Regions from separate parts of the Mus musculus genome. Here regions 2, 3, 4, 5, 6 and 7 are each reported to be linked to region 1. Evidence: microRNA targets listed by miRTarBase, many of them from high-throughput screens and not tested one by one. Region 1 holds a microRNA gene; each other region holds the end of a gene's coding sequence.
The links. The annotated mature microRNA mmu-miR-15a-5p reads UAGCAGCACAUAAUGGUUUGUG and lies in region 1 at 1,886-1,907, shown strand. An mRNA with a match to its seed (bases 2 to 7 or 8) in the 3' UTR can be bound and repressed. Matches are read on the target gene's strand: a 7mer-m8 pairs with bases 2 to 8, a 7mer-A1 pairs with bases 2 to 7 and ends in A, and an 8mer does both.

Region 1 (4,205 bases):
ATGTTAATGGTTCATTTGCAGATAGGGAACCAGAAAGGGTCAGTGTACTAGAATAACAGCCATGGGAGACACTCAAAGGACAGTGTCAGGGTTCGGACCTCAGATTCTGTATTCTGTCATTGTGCTCCAACAAATTACTGGTTGCTTATTATTAAATTCAAAAAGTATCCCATTATTCTGATGCAGTCAAGATGATGATATAGCTTGGGCAACATGCCTATAAATGTTTGTGAAGTGCTAAGCTTTATGGAAACAAGATGAATTAATATTAGAAGTTTTATAAGGTAAAAAGTAAATGTTTCTAAAGAAAAATATTAATGGAAACAAATAGAGTTGAAGGGGGAAATAGGACAATTTGGTTTGATCTATCTTCTTAAATTGTTGTAAAATTCTGTTTTCTTATACGAATAATATTAATTTCAGGTATTTAAAGATTGCCATGTATTCCTATGTACACTCAAGTTACCTTCTTAAGCAAAACATTTTGTTTTCTTTTCAGAATGGCTTTTTTTTCCTTTTAAGAACATTAGTAAAAAGTTGAACTATGTAAAAACCCAACAAAGAAAAATTATTTTGGTCCTTAGGCCAGAATATAAACCACTGAATTTGGAACGGGGCATGATGGTGCACGCCTTTAATCCTAGCATGCAGGAGGGAAACCAGGCAGATAGATCTCTGAGTTCCAGTCCAGCCTGGTCTATAGAATGAATTGCAGGACAGCAGCCACTGTCCTCAAAACCTCTCTCAAAAAACCACTGAATTTGAAATTATAATCATTGTATAAAGATAAAGGACAAAATCACTTTTAGCAGCTTTTATCTTTATTTTCAGACTTTTTTTTTTTAAGCTGGCACACTTGAAAGCAAAGGTTTGAAGATTTAAAGACGTTTTGATATTTCAAATGACCCAACATGAACGGGAATGGAGAAATGGCATTGACCCACTAGAAAACATTTGCTACACAGTAATCTAGTTTGAATGGAAAATCTGGTATGAACTGGAATAATAAGAACAGTTCTTTGTGAAGGGATGGCTAAGTCCCCCACTAAACAGAAAAGAGTCTTCTTAATAGTGTAAGAAAACCTAGATATTCACACACACATAAAATGAAGTTGGAACTTAACGTAGTAAAAATTTTGTTTCAGCTAAGTCAAAGTCCTGTGGTATAAAATGATACTCCTTTAAAGGACTAGCCTTTTTAACTGGGAAACACACAAATGGTTACTTAGGCTTGAGCTACAGGATTTCTGATATATCCTTTTAGGAAACCAAATAGACCTGTTATCCTAAGATGATGTTCTGGGTAATAATAAATGACACTGAACTCACAATAACTATTCCAATATTGAGATAAATCTTGTGTTCATGTGTAGATTGGGGGTTATATATTTTTGGGGAATATGTTTCATGTGTATGTCTTCTAAATATTTTGCTAGTATAAATTTCTTGAAACTGAGCTCTTACATGTTTGTTCTTACATGTTTCCTTTAACATGAAGCTTTGTCCTATGGATTTGGCTTTGAAAGATGTGCTGCTCTTAATAAGGTAAAAACCAACTTTTGTAGCTATTTCATGTGTTAAGCACATTCAAAAGTTGTTAGTTTAATAAATGAGGTTCTTAAGTTGGTATGGGAAAATGACTTGCTTTTCTCGTTTCATGACTACAATAAATTACAGCACTGTATTAAGTTTTCTGTACGCTTTTATTAAACTTATGATATGGAAATACTTTTTATTCTGCTGAAAGCCTATAAAATTATGCACATACCAGTGTTAGATTTTTTTCAAACATAGATTTTATGTGTTCTACTTTTTCCTAAAAAGCCTTTTCTGTAAATTACTATTGAGGTGCTAGGAGTTTTCAAAACCAACCCTTGGAGTAAAGTAGCAGCACATAATGGTTTGTGGATGTTGAAAAGGTGCAGGCCATACTGTGCTGCCTCAAAATACAAGGACCTGATCTTCTGAAGAGAGTACCTGTCTTTTTATTCATAGCTCCTATGATAGCAATGTCAGCGGTGCCTTAGCAGCACGTAAATATTGGCGTTAAGATTCTGAAATTACCTCCAGTATTGACTGTGCTGCTGAAGTAAGGTTGGCAATACTCTACAACTGTAATTCAATGTGTATTGATGTTACTTGTGTGTTTACACGGTTTTTCTAATTGCATTAGTGATTTTATGTTTGGTATGATTCTGTAATGATGTTAGTAACAACGCTCTACATATTGTGTCTGTTAAAATACTATATAATTGTGGGATGGTAATGCAGCTCAGTTGGCCAAGTGCTTCTTGCTAGCATGCACAAGGCCATGGGTTTTAGCCTTACCACTGCATACCAGGTACACTTGTAATCCTAGATCTGAGGAAGTGGAAAAAAGAGAATTAGAGGCTTAACATCATCCTTGGCCATAAAGCAAGTCTAAGACCTATGTAAGGATCTGTCTTTTAAAAACAAACAAAACATAATGACTTCTGTGTGAGGAACTGATTATAGGACTTCTAGATACCCAGATTTGTAAATGCTTGGATCTCCTGTATAAAATGTCTGCTCGTGACCAGTGCATATCCTCCCTTATACTTATTTAAACTTATCTCTACATTGTTTTTAATGTGTAGTGCAGTGGGATGTTAACATGGATAGTTGTATTATTCAAGTTATTCTCTTAATGATGAGAAAAAAACTGTACAATTCAGTACTAATGCAGTTTTTGTCCAAGAAATAAGTTTTTTGGTTTGGTCTTTTGAGCCTGGGTCTCACCATGTAGACCAGGCTGCCATGAAACTCACTGAGATCCTCTTGCCTCCGCCTCCCAAATTCTTTGTTTAAAACTGTAGGCCCCAATGCCTGGCCACCCAAATGTTTTGAATGTGTGGTTGGTTGGATCCACAGATGGAGCACTGACTAATAATATAACAAGTATTTTTAAGTCTTGAACACCTTTCCAGAGTTTCTTGAGAGCTACAGTGGTACAGAATATACCCAGTACCACCAAGGCTCGAGCTCTCTTTCCAGCATTTCCATATAAAAGTTTATTTGAAAGAGTTTAGGAAGTACCAAATTGTACATGAATTTAAACTCATATTATTACTTATAATAGAAAAATACTTTTCTCTTGATTTGAAGTTTTCTTTAGATACAGATAAAGTTTGAAATGCTACAGATTATAACATAATCTTGAGTATAATGTGCCTAAATATTTCATTTTAAATGAAGGAGAATAACACTAAAATGTGTACGTTGAATTTTTAAACTTAAATTTAGAAGAATCCTTAGAATAGCTGACCTTTTTATTGGTTAACTGAGGAAACAATCTGAAATTTAATTTGCAACCTATGACATATTAGGGTATAAATCCTATATCTTCTAACTTAATAATTACTGTTTTTCTTATTTTTCACTAAAATGTTTAACAGGAGATTTTTATAAGTCAAAAGTATGAAAGACATCTCATCTGTGCCTTAATATTTAACTTCAGATTAAAGCTAACAGTCATTAATTTTATAAATATATTCAGAATATTTTAATTATTTCAAAGGAAATGTTCTTTTTTTTTTTTTTTTTTTTTAAAGATTTATTTATTGATTATATGTAAGTACACTGTAGCTGTCTTCAGACATTCTAGAAGAGGGAGTCAGATCTCGTTACGGATGGTTGTGAGCCACCATGTGGTTGCTGGGAATTGAACTCCGGACCTTCGGAAGAGCAGTCGGGTGCTCTTACCCACTGAGCCATCTCACCAGCCCGGAAATGTTCTTTTAACTATCCCATGTGCTTTATTTTAAATGTTTTACGTCATTATTTTAAAATGTTCAAGAAAACACATTATCTCACAATAATGTCCTCTAACTCTGTCATTACTTTTTACAAGGAGTCTCTTACCTTTTCAGATTAAAGGTTCATAATTAATTCTACCGTGTGTTGTGGAGATCCTAAAAGTATTTCAGTTATTTTTTAAGGAATTGTCCTCAAAAGAACCACTACTCAATTCTAATTTAAAGGTAAAATTAAGTAAGTTTTAACAAGTTGATTTAATTAACTATAGACTCCGTTTTTGGAGCATTTTTTCTGTGTATGAGTACACTGTAGCTATATTGATGGTTGTGAGCCATCATGTGGTTGCTGGGAATTTTGAATTCAGGACCTCTGCTTGCTCCAATTGGCCCACTCACTCCAGCTCTGTAGCTGTCTTCAGACACACCAGA
Region 2 (4,185 bases), not on the chromosome of region 1:
AAGAAAGTCAGGTCAGGAACTCAAGGCAGGAACTGCAGCCATGGAGGAGTACTGCTTACTGGCTTGCTCCCCATGGATTGCTCAGCCTGCTTTTGGATAGCACCAGGACCACCTGCCAAGGCGTAGCGTTCTCCACAGCAGTCATCAATCAAGGAATGTATCATTGGCTTGTCAGCTTGTCAGTCAGCTGGGAACATTTTCTCAGCTGGTGTTTTTTCTTCTCTAGAGACTCTAGCTTCTGTCTGTCGAGTTGACATAAACTAGCCAGTACACATGATATTCAAGTCCCGGTCTTGTCTCTCTCTCCCTCAGTGCCGCCCTTCCAAAGGCAGAAAGCGGGGCTTCTGCTGGTGTGTGGACAAGTATGGGCAGCCCTTGCCAGGCTACGACACCAAGGGGAAAGACGACGTACATTGCCTCAGCGTGCAGAGCCAGTAGATGCTCCGTGCCACGTAAGCCAGAGGTTCCGGCCCCGGACTCAGCTCCTTTGGAAAGTGGTTGAGGTTAAGGGGAATTGCTAGGAGCAACTATGGCTGCCAGGTACCCACCCCTCATCCTGGGCTCCCTGGCCCAGGAGCTGCAGCCAGGCCCAGAGAGAGGCAGGTAAAGGGGATTGTTCAGGGAGAAGAAAGTCCTTAACCTAACCACACCCCCAAGGACAGACACCAGGGTCAGTGTAGCTTCAAAAACTCTCAGCTCTGTTCTAAATGACTTCAAATATGCACTATTTCATATGCAAGCAAGCACTGTGGGGGGTTTTAAATAAAACTTTATCCGCAGTAGTCCTGAGGGTTAGAGCACACTGTTTTCTTCCAGGAGAACCTGGCATATTTGGTTTCTGAATTAGAGATGTCCCTAGTTTTGTTGTAATAATTTTTTTTGAAAATTAGAATATTCCTTTAGTTTGTGGTTAGTTTGATCTTTAAAGGAATTATTTAAACCTAATAAAACTAATGTAACACTGATATTCTAAACCACCATTTCGGAGAATATTATTGTATTTAGCATTTTGTTTTCTTTCAGTAAATGAAGGAATTATGGGAAAGAGTAAATATGCTTTGCTTTCTTGACAATTTTCATAGGCAGAAAAAGATTTCATTTTTACTTAGAATATTTCCCTCATCAGTTGGAAAAATAACTCTAATTATGGATAGCACTTTTTAACAATGAAAGTATTTGATGGTGTTTGGTGAGAAAGAATAGACTGAGGTCCACCCCCTCATGCTGAACAAAAGGGGGAGCCCCCCCTGAATATTGGAGGTAATTATTTCAATGTATGTCTTACTCTTTTTCTTTCTTTCATCTTCCTTTTAGATAATATGGAGCTCAAATATGCCTTATTTTGCACAAAAGACTGCCAACAACATGATCAGCAGCTGGCTACAGCCTTGATTTATATATATATATATATATTTTATGTGTGTGTGTGTGTGAGTGTGGTGAACTGAGTGAAAACAAACACACACACAAACCAAAGTTTAGACAGATTTCTGAAATGCCTCTGGTCATTTAAATAGTGAACTTGATCATCTTCCTACTTCCCAGTAGTCAACAAAAAGCAGTTTGAATTTTCCTGTTGCTTCTTATGAGAGACACTCGTGTACTCCAGGCCCCGGATGCCATCTGCCCCCTAACTCACCCACCCAGTACGGGCTTCAATGCTGCTGGCCCTCTGCCTTCTTGATTTCAGACGTTCCGTGGCTGATATAGACAAATCCTCTTTCCATCCCCTGTAAATAAGTGCAGGCCCTATGGAGAATGGGGAAACCCATAACCGAGTGACCCGGACATCTGGAAGCATATGCCTGAGGCTCATGGTCCTTATTGTGCCATCTCTGAATAAGGGCCTGGCCCTGTATCCGCAAGTGGCCTGATCTACTTGGGAACTGTGGGAGAGGATATGTGTTGTCTCTCTTACTAAAAATGACTGAGAATGTTCTAGGGCACTCTGGGAGCCCATAAGGACAAGGATAAGGACCTTTCTTTGTCAGGCATCTTCTTGATGACTTGGCCCAGCAGAAAGCCCCAAGTGGGAGGAGCAGCATCGGACTCCACGTTCAGAGATGTCGCAAATAATGGTGCGCTTAGTTCTTCAGATGACTTCAAAAAACAATGTTTTCTGGTCCAGCCTCTCAAAATAAAGTTTGTTGTGAGGTGGGGCTGCGGGAAGGCAGTTTTTCAAAAACACAGATTTCTTTTCATCTTCCTATCTAAACAGGAAAGAGGAGTGGCTTGTCTGAGAGCCTGGTAAGAGCATGGAGAAAATCACCTGTATGTTGATCTTGGGGTCCTTCTCAAACTCTCTTTATAATTCACGCATATATGCAGACAAAGTACGTTCTTAATTGTTAACATTGTATACAACGTAGCCCAGATATAATAGAATCTGTACTAGATAATCCTAGATGAAGTGTTAGAGATGTTAGGTGATATAACTGCAGACACGCCCAAGGAAAGGAGCCTGTGTCTGGAGGCTGGGCTGCTCTCCCCCAGGCCGAGGCGGAGGAGGTCTGGCAACGCAGGGTGAGAGGAGACTGTACTGCATCCTACGGGGTGGACATGCGCTGTACAGAGCTTTCCTTGAGAGCACAAAGGAATCTCAAGACATTCTGCCTGCCTATCAGCTTTTCTTTATTTTTTTAATTAAGTTTTTTGGGGAAAAATGTATTTTTGAAAAGTTTGTCTTGCAATGTATTTATAAATAGTAAATAAAGTTTTTATCATTTAAAAAAAAAGCCCTTTTGTCTGTTTCTGGGTCTTGAGTCACTAAAGAGATTATTCAGAGAGGACAAAATACTCTAGACATAGAAAACTATCATGAACATGAATAGATACCATAGCTGACTCCATGTCTAACCAGAAGCTCAATGGTACAGTTGTTGTGGCCTTGGTTGGCATCCATGTGACACCGGGCCACATGCAGAGGAATATCCAGGTCCACTAGGTTATGTTGGCAGCTATTGTCTAGACAGGTAAAGCAGGTCACTAGGTTGTTTCCATGACAACCTTTGTTGTTTCCTTGCCTTTCCAGTCGGTGCCCCTGCTTCCCCATGCAGATGATGTGAATGAGATCACTGGCTTTTCTGCCACCACTGTGCTTGGAGAAGGGGCATGGGCTGAGTCCTGAAAAAGGGGAGAACCCCAAAGGATGCTGCGATTGCTTCAGTCACTTTGGTTTTAAAATAACAGTCCCATGCCAAAATAATTCAAGTGTGTCCTAGGACCATGACATCAAACCAATTCCTGTTTAGAGCCATGTCATCCAACAGACATCTGAAGTGATGGTGACGTCACAGCGTTTAGTTGTGTGGGTGTTTGGAGATCTGGGGGTGTACAGTGTGACCACAGGGAGGAGCCTATGAAAGTCAGATCAACTGAGATTTAGCTCAGCTGCATGTCTGTTGGCCAACTATGTGCCAGTCCCACACTACATAATCGGAAAAGACATACTCCCCTGCTGGCTTTATCAATGCACGGGTCCCCTAAGCTAAAGCATGCGGTTTTCACAGTCAGGCCAGTCAGTGCCTCTGATTACGACATTACAATGCTATATTGAGGATGGAAACCGATAGTGTGTTCATAGAAGGACCATAGAAAGCTGCTGCCAGAGAAAGACCCTTGCAAACCTGAGAACTGCTCTTTTTTTTTTTTTTCTTTTTGCTATCCAATACTCTGTTTCAGAGACAAATCCACCTGACCAGTCCCTGCAGACATGGGGAACTTCATTGTTCCTGGATAGGACTGGGCAAAACCTGTTTGAGCCATATGTGATGCCATATAGAAGACCTGGAAGTCATTAAGAAGCCTCCAGCTCACTAGCTAAGACCCATCCCCTTTAATTCAAAGGCTACCCATTCTTCTCTGTTAATTGATCTGTGAGCTATTTCCCCTACCAACTTCTTATTGTCTAACCAGGAAATACATTTTAAAAATAAAGTAAAATATTCCTTCAAAGCTCAATTGGCAACCAGGGATTTTTGAGGTTTGGTTTGGTTTGATTTGGGGGAGGGTGTTTTTTGTTTGGAGACTTTATGGAGGCGGGGGGTTGTTGTGTTGTTTTGTTTTGGTTTGATTTGGTTTTTGGTGCCACAGTGCCAAGAGAGAAAAGAACTTGGTTTGGGTTAAATGTTGTTAACCATTAGTATGGCCATCAAGGCTTGACAGTGCAGGAGTGCTGGCACCCAC
Region 3 (4,205 bases), not on the chromosome of region 1:
GTATCAGATCATCAGCACTTGCCACACCAGAGGCATAGTCCCAGACCCTTAAAATTACCTTTATAGTTCAATAATTATGGCAAAACTTCTGTGTACATTAAGACAGGCCTCCAACTTATACAGGTATGCCTCTTGATTCTAGACCTTATTCCCCAGCTAGTAGTATTATTTGGGGGAGGCAGTGGAGCTTTTAAGAGGCCTAGCAGTAGTCACTAGAGGTCACTAGGGGTGGGGGTCTCTGGAGGTTTTACTGCCCCTGGTTCCAGTCTGTGAACTGTGCTTCCCAGTCAGCACCATGTGATTAAAGCCTCTGCCTGCAATCACAAATGGAGCCAATACTGTTACCATGCCTTTTCTGCTGGACTGAAATAGCTCTGTAACAGTGAGCAAAAAAGCAACCGAACAATTCGCCTGCCCCTCTGCCCCCCAACCCAACTATCCTCCCTTAAATTGTTTCCACCAGGTGTTCTGTCACAGAGATAAGAAAAATATACTCTTATAAGCCCAGTACTGGGGAATGGATAAGCTCTCAGCATTATCTATCGACAACAACTGCCACAGAGTCAGTTTATAAAGCCAATTCTCTGTGCCTCTCTGGGTAACCCTACCAGACATATAAGTTGTGTTTTCTGATGTGCAAACGTGTTTTTTCCTTCTGACTTTCTATGTTGTCAGAACCATGCCGACGAGTAACTAACAGAAGTTCAAGGCCCTCTCTATATCCATTATTCCTTCCACGCCCAACAAAGAGTGTCTCCCCACCTCGAGTTGATCTCTATGGATAGTCACTTACTATCTTAAGAAATGATCTCTTATTTCTCAGCAGCTTCAGTGGATTTGCATACCATCCTGCAATGCAGCCAGCTTATGGCATCTCACTGGACTTGCTGATTTGGTCTACATGGGTGAATAACGCTGGAATTCACTCACTTAGTACCTAGCTGGGTCTCCTATGGCTGATCACTGCAGATTACCATGACGATCCCAAATCCTGTCCCACAAATTAGGATTCAAGTTCTTCTTTGCCCTAGTCTTAAAAAAAAAAAAAATCTAACCCAGGATGCTTCCAGAAACTTGTGTGTTTTTTTTGAAAAGTCCTCAAACCCCCACACTTGGCAATGGTCCAATCTGTCAAATTCTGAATGCTGTGTTAGCTCCAGAGCATTCACAACAGTGTGGGAAACATTACCAAAATCTGTGAGGTCCAGTACAATAGCTGTTAGCTCCTGTGGAGCTATTGAGCACTTGAAATTTAGTCTGTATTACTGGCAAAAAAAGGTTTCTAATATTAATTAGTTCCAAGAGTTAAGTTTAAGTAGCTTTAAGTGGCTAGTTTACCAGAATGACAGTAAAAATCTAAATGGTTCAAGTTTGAGAGTTTTGGACTGCTTCTAGATGAAAGACTGTCAACAAAATGAGAGGCTCAGTAAATACTTGGCAACCACCTGCCTTCCATAACTTCTTTCATGCTTTCTGGGTTATCTCAAAAGAAAAATTAAAAAAAAAAAAAAAAAAAAAGAAACAGTTCAAAACCCATAGTACTTAACAATCTGACTTGAATATAACTAGTGATTTTAATATAGGGAGTGGCATAGACAAAGCAATTAGCAAAAATAATTAGAAAATAATCATTCTAGAAGTTATTTATGTTTAATGCTTAAAAGTCTGAATGCACAAACAATCTACCATCATAGAAGTACTGGTGGCCAACACAATGCGTTAGAACTATGTACAATGCACAGTTTAGTATCAAAATCTTTCTACACTGTAGAGTTTTATGAAACTGTTAATGACATCAAACACTAAGCACTTAAGACACCATTTTTTTTGCTACCACACAAAGAACGTCAATGACAGTCCATTTCAGCTTGCAGCATCCATCCATTTCTAGTATGAAATTAAGTGATTTTTCTACTTATACAATAAAGTTTATCTACACAGTTCTTGATTTTGATCCATAGCAGCAAAGGCACTGTACATCAGCAGATCCACAGACTTAAAAGATCTTTTTAAAGCATTCAAACAAAAAATAATAATAAAAAAGGAGTCACATGTTATAGTTTTAACAGCAACAACAACAACAACATAAAAGATAACACAATGTTTCTGGCACAATGGCACAGCCTGTGTCCATTTCAGGGACATCCAACTAAGACATGGAAAGAACCAGAGGTAAATAAAGCAAGCCACCATCCCGGGAGAGGCTCTTCTTTGTGGCTTTCAGAGGGTGGGCTCTGCAAACCCTCCTCTGCTGGCCTTTGTGTGGGAAAGACTTGCTTTGCACAGCGGTAGGCAAGCAGTCCTCCTGTACCTACAGCTCCTAAAGAGCATGACACAAAACAGCCTGCCATGTCTCACAGCATCACAACTGCCCAGAGACACACAGCTTCCTCTGCCAGGAAATTTGGCAAAAATATTTAGAAGAAATTAAGTTCTCTCTTTGAGGCCCAATTTAATTTTTGATCTGTCTATAATACAATAAAAAAAGGAATTAAAAAATATTACAAAGATACTTGTCAACAAGTAAAAAATAAAAAAGAAAAACATCTAATTATTTTTGTTGAATGTAATCTAAAGTTATAGACATATTGGTTAAAGTTGCCCAAATAGACTCAAAGGAATAGTACTTGGCCTGTTATATTCTACTTGTTCAAACAGCCAAATTTCCAAATGTTTTTAATATAAGTAGAAAATAAAACAAAACAACCTCATAACAACACAGCAACATATTGCTTCCGTGTGTAATTATACATTTCACATCTCTATACAGTCAATAGTCTACATTTAGTGACATTTAAATCAGTTATTTTAAACCTTCCTTTCCCCTCCCTCACCAAAAGGGAGGGGTGGAGCATCAAATACAATGCACCTTCATTATCAATGCAGGAGCGGACAGCTTTATTTAGTCAGTCATTGTTAGAAAGCCTTCTTTAAACAAAATAAATATATTACAGATATAATACATAATTAAAGATTCCATTCACTGTTAGGTATTCCATGTTCTTCCAAGACGATAGCTGAAGATTTGGTATCACAGGTTCTTAATGAGTATTCACAATTCAATAGCAAGGAGGAAGTGGGGCTATGGGAAGGGATTAAACTCCACAACTGCAATGAGTATTGGAAATCCTTGGTTTTAGAATGGGAGAGGGGTGAACAGAAAAGTACAACAGCGCAAAGTGCTATGAGGAGGAGTCCAGTTTGCACGAAGATTTGTCCTTAATAAATAACTTCATAAACCGTAGCTTTCTTGTCCCCAGAGCCAGTGACAATGTACTTGTCATCCACAGAGATGTCACAGCTAAGCACCGATGAGGATTCTTTGGACTAGGGAAGAAACATATCAAGAATGTCACATAGAGGAACTGAGCAGCAGGACTGGTGGGTGTGGCTGAGCAGATGTACAACCAAAGTGCTCCCCAGAGCACCAAGTACATCTGCAGATAGAGGGCAGCACCAACATTCCTAGACATGGCAGGAGGACATCATCCTTAGCTTAGGCTAAGGATTCCTGTCCTGAGGCATCAAAGAGAGGTAACTCAATGGTCAGCGGGCTCTGCAATGAGGCAAATCCTAGTTCTTTAAACTCTATTCCTGGGGCTGGAGAGAGAACTCACTGGATAAGAGCACTGAATGCTCTTCTAGAGAACATGGGTTCAAACCCAAGAGCCCACATGGCAGTTTATAACTGTTTGTTTGTTTGTTTTTAAACTCCAGTTTGGGGGAGGGGTTTCCTTCTGCTTTCCTCAAGTACCAGGTATACAACCTGGTCAACAGACAAGCATACAGACAATAAAATAAAAGAACAAACAAACAAACAACCCCCCTTTCTTCACTAGAGAGTACAGAGCAAGTAGGACATTCAAGATCCAAGACCTCAGCTGCCACAGACAGGGAGCCTGGCTCTCGGCGGTACCACAGAGCGGCAAGCACTGCACAGGCCTAACAACTAAAGGCAGACATGAGCCACAATGTCCACTGCTACTAGCACAGAACACGAGAACAGGAAAGAGGAGTTCAATAGTTGGAAACAGAAACACACTCCACTGAAGAGAGGTGAAGGGTGATGAAGGGATGAGGGAAGACCACACACAGACAAGGCTTAAAATAGGACCCTCAAGAATACTGGGAGCATCAGAAGTCACACGTGTAAGACAAGTACCTAATATACTGCATGTCAAACTTTTTTTATTGCAATTGCTAAT
Region 4 (4,205 bases), not on the chromosome of region 1:
AACAAGGCCATGCCATGGAGGAGACTGACGTCCCAGAACCAGCTTATTTGGACAGTGTGTAGACAGACATGCATAGAATCACGAAAATCAAAATATTTATTTTGTTTTCTTGCACACAACACTTAAACATTCCCATTACAGCAACCCTGCTCTCCGGGAGCTTACAGTCTCTGAGACAGTCAACGTGAATGTGGCCCCAGTAATTAAGGCATTACATCAAATGCAGACCTGTTGTTTGGATGCATCTTTTGAAGAGGCTGGAAAGGGCAGGCACAAGATTAAATGGCATGATGGACACTGTGCCTCACTCTCCTGATTCTAATGAGGAAGCGAAGGCCACGGCCTGGAAGGGAGTGTGGGAGGGACAGCCCTGCGCACAGGAGCAGTGAGGAGACTGATGGATGCCGAGGAGGTTCCTGATGAGGGCAGTGGCTGCTGAGTACTCTTCCATCTTGGACTGCAGTTAGTACTTAAGATCTGTAATTCTGCTAACCCTTTACCCAGCTTTATAGAAATTCCAGTGGAGCAACTGCTTCTTGAAGCAAATTTAAGACCTCTACTTGCTTTGTAAATACAAAGTTCTAATTATTAGGTAAAATAACCTCAGCAATAGCCATGCTACTGCATCAGGATGGTGAGAGAGATGTTAAACACTAAGCTACCTGGGAAAAAAGTCAGAGAGGGAAAAGTAGGGCAGGGGCTAAAGACACTCAGCTATAGCTTTCCCACAGATGAAAGGAGACATTTAGATAAAATAAACACAAAGGCTGGGCATTGAAGTTCATGAGGATGGGACTTAGGCTTACCTCTGTTCTGCACTAACCGCAGTCTCTAGCAACCTAGCGCAGGGATCTTAAGTTTAGGATTTGCAGCAGACTATTTCTACTCGGAAGCTACCCTGAAGAACCATGCCAAACTGAGGTTTCTCTTGGTTTCAGATTCATAGCACCTTGTTCCTACGGGCCTTGGTTCTTTTCACCTCAACGATAAGGTCCCGATTCTGACAGTTTATGCATTACTTTTAGGGGCCTGACATAAGCTAGGTAAGTGACTCACACCAGAGCTGCATCTCAGCCCCTGAAAGGTGTTTTATAGCAGCTCATTTGGAGATTCTAGAGAGCACCAGGGTTACCACTAAGTGTGGTTTCTGGATTCCCCTGGGTTTATTATTCCATGGCTTCTGATATGACAAACAGGCTATTTGCACCTTAATGTTGGGCTGTCAGTACCTGTCATTCACTGCAGGATGAACTCAGAGAAAAGCAAAGCTCTAAAGTTGATTTCTAAGAATTTTAGACTCCATCCAGTAGGCTTAAAACCTTTTCTTGGTTCAAAGCCACCAAAGTACACATTCCTTGTTCTCTAATATGTAATTGGCACACACAGAGGAGAAAGTACACACTTCAAAACTGAAACACTGGGCCAACAAGACAGCAGGTTTGTTTCTTCTGCTCTGAGGCACAACTGGATCTAGCACCAAAGAGGGCAGGATTGAACAGACCAGCATAGGAAGAATCGCTTTAAAGAGGTAGTGTGGGAACAAGCCTGCATGTAGATTAATGATTGACAGGACGTCCAATGAGATCCTTCATTGAGAAAGGGGTCTTGGCCACTGTAATCTATGTAAATCCCCGTAAATGATAAAGGTGGTCAAGTAGTGGATGGGGACCTACATAGTGCACACTGAGAACAACTGGCTATTGGCAGACACATGCCCCATGTCTCTCCAAACAAGAAAGCTGGGTTTTTGCCTTTCTGGGCTTTTGACTGGCTGACTCACACAGCAGAGCAAAGGTCTCTTGGCCTTCAAATAACTTCCAAGGAACCTTAGATCTTTAAAAGTTAGGACTAGAGACTTCGTATATGTTGACAAGTATACTTTGGCTGTAATCCCACACACTGTATGTGGGTATACATAAAACATATTTGGAAGTGAATAAATGTTTGTGGAATGATAAAGTATCGACCAGCAGCATTTAGATGTGACATGTGCCCAAGGCATACCACCTACTAACCAGCAATTCACATGTTCATGCCTGATAGCAGGTAGCCCCACCCTCTGTCCCTTCTAGGTGCAACTTTTCTAGTTTAATGCAGAGACTCTTAAGGTAATCCTCTGGACTGACTGTGAGTAGAACATCACCTAGGAACTTAGAAATGCCAAATTTGGTGGTTCTGGGGTTGAGGTCCACCAAGTAGTGTCTTAACAAGCCCTCTGGGTGATTCTGAAGCTGTAAAGTTTGAAAATCATTGGTTTCAAGGAACACACACACAATACAAACTCTTATTCAGTTGGGACAAACCAAGGTACTGAGTCAAAGTAAAATACTAATGGTTTTATTTAACAATCTCTATTTCTGTTGTCTTAAATTGATTGTCCTGTTTTTGTTTTGATTGGCAAGTTCATTCTGATCAAATGTTCAATAGGAACACAAGTTGATGACTGAGCAGGAATACAGACTCATAGACGCTAGGCCTGTGTTTAGTCCCTACCCACTCTGTACACACTACACAGGTTTCAGTGTAACCTGGAGAGAGGAACATGTGTTTCCCATTCACTGAGTTAAGACTGGAGCTCATTTCTAGTGTGAAATTTAAGTCCCGGTTGGATGAGATGTCCCTAAGTGCCATCAATCCTGTTACAATCCTTTTTTATCACTGACCCAGAATCCCACCTATCAAATACACATATCTGTTTAAAACAAAATGTATCCCACTCCCCCCGCAAATAAAACAAAACAAAACAAATCAAAACCTGGAGAAGTAAAAAGAAGCAGATAACCAAGTCTTTAACTAGGAAGCTACCTGGATTAGATAAGGCTCAGGATGATGAGGGAGAAGACATCTCACAGGTGACTTCCCAAGAGAAAAAAATCTCATCTTATTAGAAAAACCACTATTCAGAGACTGTCAGCTAGGCTTCTATTCAGTAGGTGTGTATGTATAGACAGGAGAGAGAAGGGATGATTGGAAAGGGAATCATATCTTCCAGTCCCAAGATGCTTCCTACAGCAATTAATAAGGCCATATGTGGAGTCTGATATCAATGGCAGTGCTCTGTGATGTCCACCACCACTGCCTTCTTCCAGCTGAAGAGAAAGTATCCCGTCCCAGCCCCTGCTGCTACTGCAATGCATAGGTACCCATTGTAGGTCATGAAGATGAGCATGAGGAAGTAGCTGATGACTACCTGGATGATGTGCAGCACTGTCTGCAGGAGGTGGGGGAAGCTCAGCATCTGCTGCCTGGGGATAAGCAGAGAAGGAGAGTCAGACCTGGGCACCTGCAGCTCAGGAGAACAGCCTAACTGGACTGCAGCACGGCTATCCTGGAAACTGACGCCCGCACGCACACATCTGTAAAGAACTTTTGATTTTTCCTTGAGACAGGGTCTCATGAGCCCAAGCTGGTCTCAAATTCACTGTGTAGCCAAGGATAGCCTTGAATTCTGGTCCTCCAGCCTTCTCCAAGTGCTGGGACTACCGGCATCCATCATATCTGATTAGATTTAACTCGACAGGAAGGAATCAATCGCATTCTGCCATTCTTTTATATCTTAACTATATCTTAAAATGCCCATTACTACATAGCAAATATTTTAAAAACCAGATACTGTTAAACTTCTTTCAGAGTGACACTTACAACATAGAACAAACGTGTATGTGCTTTTGCAGGATCCCAAATACCATAGCCCACAACCTGGAACTTCTAAAGTTAGAATCACCAACTCCGGAAGAAGAAGGCCTGCCTTACTACATTACTAAGAGATCTCTAGAATTTCCCTTTGGATCTGTTGCATCTTCTTACCCAACAGTTTTGTGTGTCTCCATTAGGATGGTTCCATTTGGTCCTGGGACAGGCATGGAATTGTAGCGAATGCTGACTTGAGACTTTCGAAGCAGACCCTCTCGGGCTATCTTGAGTCCTTCATAAAACATTGCTAGTAAAAACACTGCCACGAAGGCTCCAGCCATTTCTGAGGAAAAAAGGACAGGACGGGAAAGGGGAGGGGAGGAAGAGAGAAAAGAAGGAAGAGGTGACGGTACAGTCAAAACTTAGTGAGCATACTGCTGGTCGGTCACATTGGCACTGGCCTATGATTCCAGTGCTCAGGAGGCTGGGGCAGAAAATGACAAGTACACAATTAGCCTGTGCTACATGGCAAGGCATAACTCAAACCAAACCAAACAGAAAAAGCATCAGGC
Region 5 (4,205 bases), not on the chromosome of region 1:
TGTGCATGTTTTAAATCCCAGCACTCTGGAGGCAGAGGCAGGCAGATCTCTGAGGCCAGCCTGGTCTACAGAGCAAATTCCAGGATAGTGGGGGCCACACAGAGAAACCTTGTCTCAGAAAAAAACAAAACCAACAAAACCAAGTGAGTCACTCAATGTGGATGCTGGGAACTGAGGGACCTTTGCAAGAGCTGTAGGAATGCTGAACTCCTTAGCCATCTCTTCAGCTCCCTTACCCAGCCCTCCCCCCACTTTCTCTGCCCTAATCTTCCCTCCCTTCCTCTTGGCTATGTCTAGTCCCTTTAAATATATTGCTAAGTACAGACTTTCGAGCTCCACTTACTGAGACAGGGTCTTTCTGTGTAGCTAGCCCTGGTGGTCCTGTATACAGACCATGCTGGTCTCTACCTCCACTTTGTGTATGTTTTGTTTCTATGTCCATACACCACATGTGTACCTGGTACCCAAGGAGGCCAAAAGAGGGCATTGGATGGATCCCCTGCAACTGGTATTACAAATGGTTGTGATCTCCCCTATTTTGGGAATCAATCTCCAGCCCTAAGAATTCTACCTTTTGCTGGGTAGTGGTGGTTCGTGCCTTCAATCCCAGCACTTGGGAGGCAGAGGCAGTTGGATTTCTGAGTTTGAGGCCAGCCTGGTCTACAGAGTGAGTTCCAGGACAGCCAGGGATACAGAGAGAAACCCTGTCTCGGAAAACCAACCAACCAACCAACAATTCCACCTTTTAAATGTAGACTGTTGGCTGGTTTGAGGGTGCATGCCTTGAATTCACGCATCCAGGAGGCAGTATGTTGATCTCTGTGAGTTCAAGGCTAGCCTATTCTACACATTGAGTTCCAGGACAGCCAGATTTAGTGAGATTCTGTCTCACAAGGTTACCCACTCCCTCCTTGATCTGCTCCAAGGTTGAGTATGCTGTTTTCATTTGTCTGAACATTTTTTTTCTTTTAACCTATCAGTTGTTAAAAGACGGTGTGATACACATGTAATTCTAGCACTCAGGCAAAGCAGGATGATGAGGCTAGCCTGGGCTTCATGAGGGAGCCTGTCTCGTCTCAAAACCAGATGTGATTTCCAAATTTGTTTCTTTCCTGCTTGTGTGCTGGACTCCACTGCAGAGAGGCAGCAGGTTCCAGTCTAACTGCCTGAGGCATGCTATATATCCTGGGGTATGTTGCATGTATTCTGTATGTCAGGTCTAGTCAACTTTATTAAAGTTATGTAATACTTGGCACATACATAAATTATAGTGACAGAGCCAGTGCAATGCGGTGGAGAGCCCTAAAGCCAGCAGCCCTCACTGGGTCCATGCGCCTGCTTTGTTGAAAGGAATGCATGTACAGGTCCTGTGCAGCTCACTAGCCTAGAGCTTCATAAAAGCCAGTACTGAGTTTCTGCCACCTTTTCTGTCACCCATTCACAACCGAGCACAGGGACTCTGGCAGCCACTCCTCGATCACTTGTCCAGCTCCTGAGGTTGGCTTTTCTGGATGGCTGTGGTCAGGACAGATGGCTATGGTGCTGCTGGTCTCTAGGTTTCTCCAGACCGCAGGTACCTATTACAGAGTCTATGCCGGCATCCTGCCTCTTCCAACCCTGCTCCCTCTCCTCCCCTCGTCTAGCTCTTCCTCCCCTTCCTTCACAGAGGCTGTACACTGCTGTGGCGTCCTTACATTCCCTTGGCCCTGGCCCACTGCTGTCTTCTCCACTTCTATCCGCTCCCCCACTCTCAGCCAAGAGGACAGAAAAGCTGGAAACGGCCTCCCTAGGGAGCCCACCGGTGTGTTCTCAAATGTCAGACAGCTACTGAGCCTCTGCAGGCGGTTCCTTGCTCTTGCCCGGCAGCCTCCTCCAGTACTGCAGGGAAGGCTCTGGCAGCCAGCTGAGGATTCCCCTCACCCCTCCCTGGTTCTCACCTTTCCTGTTGCACAGGAAATGCTGTCTAGGCAGGGCGCAGGCCAAGAAGGGGCAGTGAACACAGGCTCAATCCCTACTGCTGTTGAGGCCCCTGGTCATGCTGCAGTCACTTGTCAGATAGCTGGCTCCCTGCCCTAGGGCACACCCAGGGAAGGTGACATGGTGGCAAATGTCTCCAGGGCAAGCCTGAGACGCTTTACAAAATAGCTCTGCAGCTGAAGCCAACTTGGAAAATTCCAGGGGAAAGGAAATTTACTACAGCTCAGGGATATCCTGAGCTTGGATGAAAACATCTAGATTTTTTATTATTTGGGGTTCTAAGAACAGAAAGGCCACAGACCCTCAGCACAAAGGAAGGACTCAGCCAAGCCCACCAAGAGGGAGTCCTTTAATAGATTGCACAGACAGGAGACACAACAGGCCAGCACCCTGCTTGCAGGCCCAGGCGCTTTGCCAGCAGATGCAATGGCCTCCCCCACCTGGGTGTGGGCCGCAGGGTGGAAATGAGGTGGTTTAAAAAACACAGCTGTACTAATTCTTCACTTTCACAGAAAAGAGAAACTTGGGGGAGCAGCTCACTGGAGAATTTACATAGAGCTGAGCCTGAAAGCCCACCCCTAGAGGAGTTGAACCTCCCCTGAGCTGTCTGTGCTCAGTAAGGGGCAGACACCACATGGAAGGCGCAGGCCAGTCCAGAGGAACATGCTGACTGAAATAGCGGTCCCTCCCTTTCCCAGCTGTTGGCATTTCTACACTATGTACATTGTTGTGCTTTATTGCTCCCACCCCAGCCTCCACCTGGAGCTCAGGGTGGAGGGAGGAACCCCTAAACCAGATTCAGCTGGGTGGGAGCGCCAGGCCCCCTAAGGCTGGTGCTCTGTATGGTTCTGAGGCTGCCAGGCTCAGGCACTGGAGCTGCAGACCAAGGGTACAGAGCCAGCCTCAGCAGCCAGCTCTGCTGAGGAGGAACAGAAACAGAAGGATCAGTGCTGGACAAGATGCAGGCTGGGTAGGAGCAGGCAGGGTGGAAGGACAAGTGCAAGGCCATGAGTCTGGGGCAGAGGGCTGTGCACGTGGGGCTGACGGGGCCTGCAGGCACCTCACAAGAACCATTCTGGAGCAGTGAGCTTGATGGAGGGAGGCTGTGAGGCCCACTGGCCTGGGGCCCCATGGAGCGCAGGGCTGCTTCCAGTTCATCAGGGCTGGCAGTGGCAGGCCCCAGCTCAGGGTGTGTGCATTGGGAGTTCAGGGAGAACCAGCAGGCAGCCTGTGGGGCTGGGTGAGAAGGGAAGGCTGTGGTGGCATCTTTGAGTGTGTCTTCGCCAGGCCAGGGGTCACCACAGGATCAGTTGTTCTCGAAGAGTGAGAGCAGATCATCACTGCTGTTTGTGGGGAGGTCAGGTGGGCCCAGGTAGGAGAGCAGTTCATCAGGATTGGTCAGTTCTGGGAGCAGCTGAGGGCAAAGCAAACACATTAGCAGCTGTGGGCGCAGCGCAGACCCTTCACTTCCAGTGGCCAAGCTGTTCTGGCCTCAGGCCCAGTGGGAATGCTAAAGTGCCCTTCCCTGCCAAATGCTGGGTGCCTGAGAGAAGCCATCTGGCTGTACTCAGCGGCCTCTGTATCGCCCCATGCAAGGCTACTACAGGACAACAGCTAGAGACTTGGTCCCCAGGAGCCAGTGAGAACAGTTGGAGGTGGCACTGGAGATGCACAGGCCTAAAAAAGGATCTCCAGGGCCCATGGTAGGATTCCATGCCCCTGGGGCTTTCTGCTCTGGCCTGCTCCTCCTCATCTTCCTCATGCTGGAACTTCACTGAGTTTCTCTTAGGGTCCAAGGACAGTGAACACACACTCATGCTCTTGCTCACAAACTGCCTGCGTTATCAAGATGCAGAACTGAATAAATGCCCAGGTCACATTGGGCTCTGAGGACAGCGCTGTGAGCTTCACAACCCAGGCTCCAAAGCTTCTAAGGGCAGGTCACTCATTAACCACACACAGGTACCTGGTACCCTATAGCTATTCCAGGTATAACCTGTGTGGAACAGCTGCCCCTGGGTGACATTCCCTCCTGAAGGTTCACTGTTATCCCTTCTATGAAACAAGGTGTGTAGACCCAGGGACCGATGGCTCCCACCCCACACAGGACTGGCTACTTACGTCCAAAGCTGGTTCTGAGGCCTCCCCTGCCCCAGTCATGCTGGGAGGCCCCATCATGCCTGAGGCAGGATTGAAAGCCAGTTCGCTGATGGGTCCTGTGTTTGGTT
Region 6 (4,205 bases), not on the chromosome of region 1:
TCTGGGACCTCTTGGGAGGCTGGGAAAGCACTGAAGCCAAGGGTCAACTGCAACAACCAAAAGCCACACTGGACTCTGGCTGCCATTGAGGGCTCTTGCCATGAGAAGGAACAGGGGACATTCTTCTTCCTTAGAAGTCTCAGCTTTTAAGTGACAGGCATTAAGTGAAGCCTGGTGAGTGGGGAAAGCCTTGATGGGAGGGGTAGGGAAGGAAGGAAGGGAGCCAAGCCAGGGAACCTGGGTAGAACAAGGGTGGTCAGAGCTCCCGGTCTCTGGAGCACTGTGGTGGAGAAGGTGGCAGAGTCATTGATTAGCTATCCCCCCATTGGCCTTCTCGGGGAAGACACGAGCCTTGAAAGGCTTTCCAGTGTGCATGGCCCTGTCCTGAGAGATGGAGAAACAGTAATTTGGGGAGTTGAGCTGGCTGGCTGAGACTCCAAATAGGCCAAGCAGTGCTCACCCAAGGTGGTGACTGGAGCCGACACTGAGAGCCTCCTGGTGGCAGTTGGGGACAGTCCACAGCAGGGCCTTGGCACCAGGGGTGGGTCAGACTGACTGTGCAGATAGCATGCTTCTCACAGTTCTGCCCTGTTGAGCAGTGACTGAGCAGGTACTCGAGAAATGACAAGTGACCACTTGGGGATTTTGCCCAAAAAAGCTATTAAGGCAAGAGATGCAGGAGTTAGGGCCTATCCCTGTCCTTAGGAGAACCTAGACACTTTCGAGTTTTGTTTGTTTGTTTGTTTTTGTATTTGTATTTTTGGTTAGTTTTGTCTTTTTGAGGAAGGTCTTAACTATGTGACCCTGGCTGATTATGGTCACAGTCTCCTGGGGACTATAGGTGTAAGCAACTCTAATTTTGAAAACTTGGCTCTGAGCCTGTATCCTCGTTCATGCAGTGCTGGTTCCCACCTTCAGAAGTTATGTTCAGAATTAGAGGCCTCAACCATTTGGTGGCCTTAGCCTGGAGTCTGGGGACAGTCAGACTTGCTCCAGACTTACTGTGTCCGTTTGGTCTAGGCCCGGTTGACCTGCCCCTGCTGTAACACCCGCAAGAAGGATGCCGTGCTTACCAAGTGCTTCCACGTTTTCTGCTTTGAATGTGTGCGGGGCCGCTATGAGGCCCGCCAGAGGAAATGTCCCAAGTGCAACGCAGCCTTTGGTGCCCACGACTTCCACCGTGTGTACATCAGCTGAACCTGAAACTCAGGGGACTTTGAACACCCGAGGGGCTGTGCCCCAGCTCCCCACTCCCCCAGGGGCAATGGCCCCAACCTCCCTTTCAGACTCCATGAGCCCAGCCCCTATGTGCCTAGATGGTTTGGGGCTACTGGTGCGTGCAGGAGAGGTGGGGTCACCCAAGCTGAGTGCCATCTTTTCCTGAATGTCAGATCTGCAGCCTCGGGGACTCCCAGGTACACAGCATCCTACTGTAACCTTGGAAGCTGACCAAAACCTGTTTCTACTGAGAAGACAGATACATCCTTACCCCTAGAAGGGAATTCCTCCACCAGGAAAGGGCTCACCACCCATCTGCACAAGCTCAGTGCTGACCAGGGACCTGGGCTTCACATTGGGTCCTGGCCCGAGGAGCCTTGCTTCACTTACTTAGCCCCAGGCCTGGGCAGGGATTTGGCCTTCCAGTGGAGTTTCCTGTACCCTGGTGTAGCTTTTGTGTTGAAGACACTCTTGGGTGTGCACCCTATTCAGGTCAGGGACACTGCCACCTCATGGTCTGATTCAGGGGCATTTTTTTTTTTAGCCAGACTCTTTCCAATCTCCTCCTTTCCTCCCAAGTCCACTTTACCCTTTCTCACGCATCCTGGTGGTCCCTTGGGTACCTGGCCCTAGCCCTGCTTTCTTTCATCCTGGTGATCTTAATTGTGGAGGTGCAACTTGCCAGGAGGGAAGAAACAATCTAGCACTTGCAGGCATTCCAGGTAGAAGAGCTTTGCCCGTGCTCCAGCTAGCCTACACTGATCCTGCCTAAGCAGGGTCCTGAACGCCGGAGACAGGGTCTGCTGGAGCTGGGAGACGGCGCTGCAGATAGATGGCTACAGGAGCTTTTGGACTCACAGCCTCTGCTCTAGAGGTGTTGTGTATGGGCTGCTAATTGTTATGAATAAAATACCCAACCCTAGGCTGCAGAGAAGCCCGTCCATTTGGTCTAACCTGAGTCTCTGCGCTACACCTCACAAGCACTTCCCTGGCATGGTTGGAAGCTGGACACATTTGAGAAACCAGCCCAGCCCACCCTACAACCACTTGGGTTAGCAGCAATATATCTACAGACATGTTTACAAAGGGCCCCACCCCGCCGCCTCCACAATGGAAAAGTTGTTGATTATGGGTTGGCATTGGCCGAATGGATAACAGCCTTTGTGGGTTGCATACTGGGATATGTAGTCCTTTACCTCTAAGGGCCAAGTTTACCTGTTGTGACCACATTTCAGTCTTATTTGTAGGCTTTTTATCCACCCGTACTCTGCGAACACAGACCATGAACAACTCAGCAGGGTGGGTTTTCATTGTAGCTTGGGCCATTAGCTGGACCCTTGGAAACAGTTTGCTCAAACATGGAGGGCTGTCTCTGGGTTCAGAGTGGTGTTGGTGGCTCTCCCGGTGGCGCTTTTACGGATTAGCTACGTGGCCTGCGCTAAGCGAAGGTGAGGTGGGTGTGGGAACAGCAGTCATAGCCATGGTTGTGGCCTCGGGCTTAGCCACAGTAGTACCTTCTCTAGGCTCTTCAGCCTTCTCCGCAGACTTGCCTTCGTGAGGACTCCGGGCCCCTTCTGCTATCTGACTGCGCCTAGTTTCTGTGACGCCGCAGTGGCTGAACCAAGTGGGACTGGAGACTGAGATGCGAGCTACGGTGACCTCCGGTGTGGAGCTGGCAGTGACTGGGACGCTCGCAGAAGCACGAGTAGCTGCAGGGGAAGCACGAGTAGCCATAGGAGATGACATTGGGCCACCATGAAAGCCACCCCGGCTAGAATGCTGGGGGTGGGGGGAGTGGGGGAAAGCAGGATATTGCATCATAGAGACTAGACAGAGCTAGAACTGAGCTAGTAGTCTTAGGAGGCCTGTGCACTGGGGCATCAGTCAGTTCTCTGTCCAACATAATCCTCCTAAGTAATGGACCCCATTCCTTTAGAGGTGAGTCCTCAAATGGATGGGTTGGGAGTACTCAGAGCTCCATGTGGGCAGTAAGGCCTAACAGTAACACAAAGCAGACCTTTTCCCTCATGTTAAGCTCAAGCTGAATGGGCTAAAAGTCCCAGGATCCTCGTGCCTGGAGTGTGCAGTCTTTGCAGAGCCATGAAAACAAGCCATTGGTCTGTCACTGGTGCAAATTTGTGTGCTTTCTTCTCTCAAGTCAGAGATCGATCGATTGATCGATTGCAGAACCCTCCCCTGGCCACCACCGAGCAGGATGTGTTCCTGTTTGAGCTGGAGCTAGGGCAACTGCCTCTGAGCGCACTGATGGGGACTTCTCTCAGAACTTACCCCAGGCCCTAGCTGCTACATTCCTCGGCTTGAATCGTGCTGTCTTCTGATCTCTTCCTTCAACTGTAACCACGCTCCCCTTTGCACTTTGCCTTTCTCTGAGGTCCATCCAGAGACAACGGAACAGTAAAGCTATACCTACAGTTCCCTCCCAAGCTCCAGGCCTGAAAACCACTGTTTAAGGAGGGCAAGAGATGGTGCCACTCTCTCTCAGCACTCCTTAGACTCTGGCCTGTGTTCTGTGACTGCACCTCCATCGGTCCCTTATTCGATAACGAAGTGGTCCTCAGCCTTCCAAAATGTTACAACCCTTTAATATAGTTCCTCGTGCTATGGTGACCCTAACCATAAAATTATTTTGTTGTTATTTCATAACTTATTTTGTTAATGTTATGTGTTTTCTTAGGGTATTAGGCAGTCCCTATTAAGTTTGTCTGGCCTGCTCTAAGCCAACCCCAACTATTTGATAATCTATCCCCACCCCACTCCTGACTTCTATATAGAGGATCCCTTATTTTTTATTTTTTTGAGACACGGTTTCTCTGTGTAGCCCTGGCTGTTCTGGAACTCACTCTGTAGTTCAGGCTACCCTCAAACTCAGATATCCACCTGCCTCTGCCTCCCAAGTGCTGGGATTAAAGGTGTGCACTGCCACTGCCTGGCGGGGATCCCTTATTCTTGAGACCCCGTCCTCTGTA
Region 7 (4,021 bases), not on the chromosome of region 1:
TGTCTTTGTGATTGGATGTGCAGGGTCAGACCCCTAAAGCTGGACTGTCACCTGATAAGGGTGCTGAGAACTGAACTATGGTCATCTGCAAGAGCAGTATTCACTCATAATTACTAAGTCATCTCTCCAGCCCTAGGTCTCCATCCTAACAGCCCAGCTCACATATCAGCTACTAATCACAGTAGAACTCAGAAACAGGAACTATCACATGCCTGCTCATACCTAAGGGAGTGAAGGAGCCCCATGACAGGGAGCTAAGAGGTTGCTACTAGAAAGCAGAATCCAAGGCAGCCACTGCCTCCCATGGTGTCTTTCTTGTAAAGCTCTTTATGTCTACCAGCGATCTCAAAGCTTCCAGAGCCTATTTAACAGAAAAATACACCAAAAAGCTTAGCAGAAAAGGAATCTTTAAAAAACTGTTTGTGGGGCTAGAGAGATAATTCAGTCAGCAAAATGCTTGCACTGTAGTCATGAGGACCTGAGTTCAGATCCCCGGCACCCACATAAGAAGCTGGGCATAGCAGCAGGCACCTAAAATCCCAGCACCGGGGAGGCAGAAACAGGCCGAGCCCTGGAGCTCCCGGGCCGGCTGGCCTACCTCAATCAGTGAGCTCAGCTTCAGTGAGAGACCCTACCTGTCTAGGCCGAGAAGGACTGAGGAAGACCTCCATATAGGAATACACGTAAAACTCTCAAGCTATGTGGGCCTGGGAGATGTGTCCCAACGAGACCTGCCAGGTCACACAGCCCAGGAGGAACAATCTCATTCCTTACAGCTTGTCAAGTTCTAGGCTCTGATGTAGGAGCAGGCCCTCAAGGAGCCAGCACTGCTCTTCCGCTGGGAAGTTCATGGCACACATCTCAGCCACCAAGGCTGCCCTGTTGCATCCTGGGCTGCGTTGGGGTTTCCATTTTACATCACTGGAACAGAATAGGAACTGACCCTCCCACTCCTGGGTACCCTACCTTCCTGCCCACTTTCCTGTCACTGGGCAACCTCTGAAGGCACCTGTACACAGATAATTCCAGTGCCTCCTCCTCACAGAGGTCAAAGAAACTGAAAGCCTAACAGGAAGCTTCCTTAGATCACTAGGCAGCAATCCCTGCCTCAGAGCTGGAGGACTCTTCAGGGCTCTTCCAGCCCCATTCTGTACCCAGGGCCTGTCACTGTTGGAGTGCAGCAAGAGGTCTACGTGATCTGGTAACTATTTCAGAGGAGCTAGAAAGGACCTATGACATCGTATGCTGCCATGTTAGCAATGCAGCCGGAAGGACGGAAGGAGGAAGAAAGGCAGAGGGAGCCTCATGCAGATCACGTGGCTCTCCAAGTCCTTTCTTAGAAAAGTTGGCCCTATGCCCCCGCCACCACTCTGGTATAACCCAAGGCAGGTGACTTAACTCCTGTGGTAAGATCTTGGCTGTGTCCTCAAGTGGGACTTCTATGCACCACAGTGCATGGTGCAGGAACCCTACAGCCCTGGGACTCAGTGGATCAAAACCCAAGTCCTATTTCCATGTGTAACCTGGTCACTGCTCCATTTAAACAGGCCTGCCTCCTGTTTAAACCTGGGGCAAGGAAGGCTAGGGTGGCTGTGGAGAGGGCACTAGGAAACACATGCCATAATCCTGGTGATCCTTAGCACCTCTGGGCTTCTATCACAGGCAACCTATCTCTATCACCTTGCCAGGAAGAAAGGGCAGAGAGCTGACTCAAGGAAACTGCCAGGAACCTGGTCTCCCAAATCCTCCTAGGCTTCTGAATAACCGTTCTCCAACAGTGCTTAAAGAAATGCTGTGGCGAGCACAGCCAAGCCCACAGCAGGCCACTTGGTCCCAGAGACAGACAGACAGACACACACCCATACACACACATTCTCATTCACATATTCTCTCCTCCCTCTCTCTCTCTCTCTCTCTCTCTCTCTCTCTCTCTCTCTCTCCCTCTCCCTCTCCCTCTCCCACTCCCTCTCCCTCTCCCTCTCCCTCTCCCTCTCCCTCTCCCTCTCCCTCTCCCTCTCCCTCTCCCTCTCCCTCTCCCTCTCCCTCTCCCTCTCTTGGTTTAGAAAAATGGATAGACTACAACCATGCTCACCAGGTGACAGGAACACTTACCTCCCAACCTGGACTGAGGCACTGGTGCCCCCTGGTGGAACTGAGTAGCTAAGCATGTAGCCTAGAACAAAGCAAGCATTGTAGGCTCCAAGAAACAGCCAAGGAAAACCACAGAAAAGAAAGTAGAAAGAGCCAAACCCTAGGAAGACGTGGAGTGGGAGGGTGGGGGGAATCAAGAGGTGGCCACCGATGGAAGGTGCTCTACAGACTAAGGCTGCAGAAGTCACCACCCCACAGGTGGTGGCCTACCTGCTCTCAAACTCATCATGGACACCACAGACCACGGAACTCATCAACATTTATTGTGGCAATTGCACAAACAAATGGGCAGTCATTATCCAGTTCAGCAGCAGTCTCACAGATGCCATTAGTGATTCCACGCTATAAATAATTTAGGAGAAGCAAGCAGATGTGGTAATGCACCCGTGGCCGGTGGGCAGAGTGGCACCAGAAGATGGGGTTCCTCCTTGACCCCCAGCACCTTGGCCCACCAGAGGCTGGGTACCCAGGCAAGGGATGTTTCAAGGCACATACAATTTCCTAACCCGTAGCAGCTCCAGGGTCCGCCCTGAGACCTGATTTACATCTGGACCAGCCACACAGATGCATCACCTGCTGCAACCCCTGTAGACTAGTGTAGTCACTTTCATTACTAAGCAGGCTCCAGCCCACCCAGAGCCGGGGCTGCACTCACAGTCCCTACCCTTTACATTCTGAGAATGAGAGTGTAGAGAAACCAACCCCAATGTAGTGATGATGTCTGGGAAGCACCATGGGGGTGTTCTGTCTGGTGTCTGTTCTGCGGGGACACTGGGAAAAGGAAGGAGATAAACAAGAGAAAGGGGGCTGCTAGCAAATAAGATTCAAGGCACTAAAGGAGTGGAGGGGTGGGTGAACCTCAGAAAGAGCCAGCCAGAAGTGGAGGGCCCTAGGAGTGAAAAGTGGCTGGGAGGTAACCCTGGTCCTCCACTCCAGCCCGGGGCTCCAGGGTGACCTCTAGGACGTCCAACCATACAATTTGAGGCCTGGGTTTCCCTTGGCATCCCCAGCTCTCTCACCATACCACTGCTGCTATGGTCTCTGCCAGCACGTAGGACACGCTTGCCTGACATTGGCACGGCAGCTAAAATATGGCTTTCAGGAATCAAAGTCCACTTTTCGTAACTGTTCCTTCCTACGACCCGACCGTGGTAAATAAGGTAGAGCATCCTTTAGTGGACAGACAGAACTCTGTCATCACTTGGCATGTGATTCCACATCAAACATACCAAGCTCCAAGGGACAGCCTGGATGAGCAGGGTCCGAGACCCAGGGTCACCCTGCATCAAGATTATTCTACATTGGTTCAGCTGTCAGGGATCAAGCGCAGGTAGCTATGCAAAGACATGAACACACCCGTTCATGCAGACACCAGAGAGCCCTGGGCTCCCAGCAGGCCACTCAGGATGTGCTGAGCAGTCCCTGGCAGAAGGAGCTCCCAGAAGGACTCATGCTGCACTCTTCAGGGCCTTTCAGGAGGCCTATGTGCTTCCAACTCGAGGCTCGGGGCTTCTGTGTGTCCCAGCGTTTCAGGGCGCATCACCACCACGTCCAGTGTTAACCTCAAATCTCAGCAAATGGAGGCCAAAGGCTGTGGTGCAGGTAGAAGGAAGAAGGTGGACACAGACCAGGACTAATACCTAGGCCAGGCAGGCCCTGGAGGGTGGAAGCCATAGGAAGGGGTTGTCCCAGGAGGGTATGGAGGTTGAGGGGGCACAGGAGGCTGGGGCTGTCCTGGGAAGCCCGGGAGCTGAGGTTGTGTTGGGTAGGGAGGTTTGTTTCCTGACGGGAGGTAGGGGGACTGCTGAGGATAACCAGGACCAGGGGTTCGGCCCCCCACTAAGGGGTACCCTGGACCAGAGGTACTAGT

Region 2: miRTarBase lists Igfbp3 as a target of mmu-miR-15a-5p. Seed matches in the 3' UTR shown: 7mer-m8 at 1,660-1,666.
Region 3: the mRNA of Tle4 is a reported target of mmu-miR-15a-5p. Seed matches in the 3' UTR shown: 8mer at 1,959-1,966.
Region 4: miRTarBase lists Slc31a1 as a target of mmu-miR-15a-5p. Seed matches in the 3' UTR shown: 7mer-m8 at 1,969-1,975 and 7mer-A1 at 1,093-1,099.
Region 5: miRTarBase lists Zmiz2 as a target of mmu-miR-15a-5p. The part of its 3' UTR that is shown has no 7-base or 8-base seed match.
Region 6: miRTarBase lists Rnf40 as a target of mmu-miR-15a-5p. Seed matches in the 3' UTR shown: 7mer-A1 at 2,106-2,112.
Region 7: the mRNA of Vps37c is a reported target of mmu-miR-15a-5p. Seed matches in the 3' UTR shown: 7mer-A1 at 2,661-2,667 and 7mer-m8 at 2,458-2,464.

The regions. Positions count from the first base shown.
Region 1 is chr14:61,629,777-61,633,981 of GRCm38, reverse strand. It overlaps Mir15a (microRNA 15a), which reads left to right and starts at 1,872; the gene lies at 1,872-1,955. Dleu2 (deleted in lymphocytic leukemia, 2) reads left to right here. Exons shown (of 7, transcript NR_028264.1): 4 at 1,499-1,545. It overlaps Mir16-1 (microRNA 16-1), which reads left to right and starts at 2,010; the gene lies at 2,010-2,102.
Region 2 is chr11:7,204,636-7,208,820 of GRCm38, reverse strand. Igfbp3 (insulin-like growth factor binding protein 3) reads left to right here. Exons shown (of 5, transcript NM_008343.2): 4 at 313-452; 5 at 1,315-2,735. The coding sequence ends at 438. Among named protein-coding and RNA genes, the nearest start is that of Igfbp3, 7.2 kb to the left of the region's middle.
Region 3 is chr19:14,446,515-14,450,719 of GRCm38, forward strand. Tle4 (transducin-like enhancer of split 4) reads right to left here. Exons shown (of 20, transcript NM_011600.3): 20 at 1,558-3,327. The coding sequence ends at 3,220. Among named protein-coding and RNA genes, the nearest start is that of Gm8630, 13 kb to the left of the region's middle.
Region 4 is chr4:62,387,638-62,391,842 of GRCm38, reverse strand. Slc31a1 (solute carrier family 31, member 1) reads right to left here. Exons shown (of 5, transcript NM_175090.4): 4 at 3,808-3,976; 5 at 74-3,245. The coding sequence ends at 3,044. Among named protein-coding and RNA genes, the nearest start is that of Cdc26, 19 kb to the left of the region's middle.
Region 5 is chr11:6,404,176-6,408,380 of GRCm38, reverse strand. Zmiz2 (zinc finger, MIZ-type containing 2) reads right to left here. Exons shown (of 19, transcript NM_028601.3): 18 at 4,099-4,205; 19 at 2,219-3,391. The coding sequence ends at 3,284. Among named protein-coding and RNA genes, the nearest start is that of Mir7651, 4.6 kb to the right of the region's middle.
Region 6 is chr7:127,601,447-127,605,651 of GRCm38, forward strand. Rnf40 (ring finger protein 40) reads left to right here. Exons shown (of 20, transcript NM_172281.2): 20 at 1,021-2,159. The coding sequence ends at 1,197. 1700120K04Rik (RIKEN cDNA 1700120K04 gene) reads right to left here and starts at 2,999. Exons shown (of 1, transcript NR_027915.1): 1 at 2,457-2,999.
Region 7 is chr19:10,712,998-10,717,018 of GRCm38, reverse strand. Vps37c (vacuolar protein sorting 37C) reads right to left here. Exons shown (of 5, transcript NM_181403.3): 5 at 2,391-4,021. The coding sequence ends at 3,785. Among named protein-coding and RNA genes, the nearest start is that of Cd5, 24 kb to the left of the region's middle.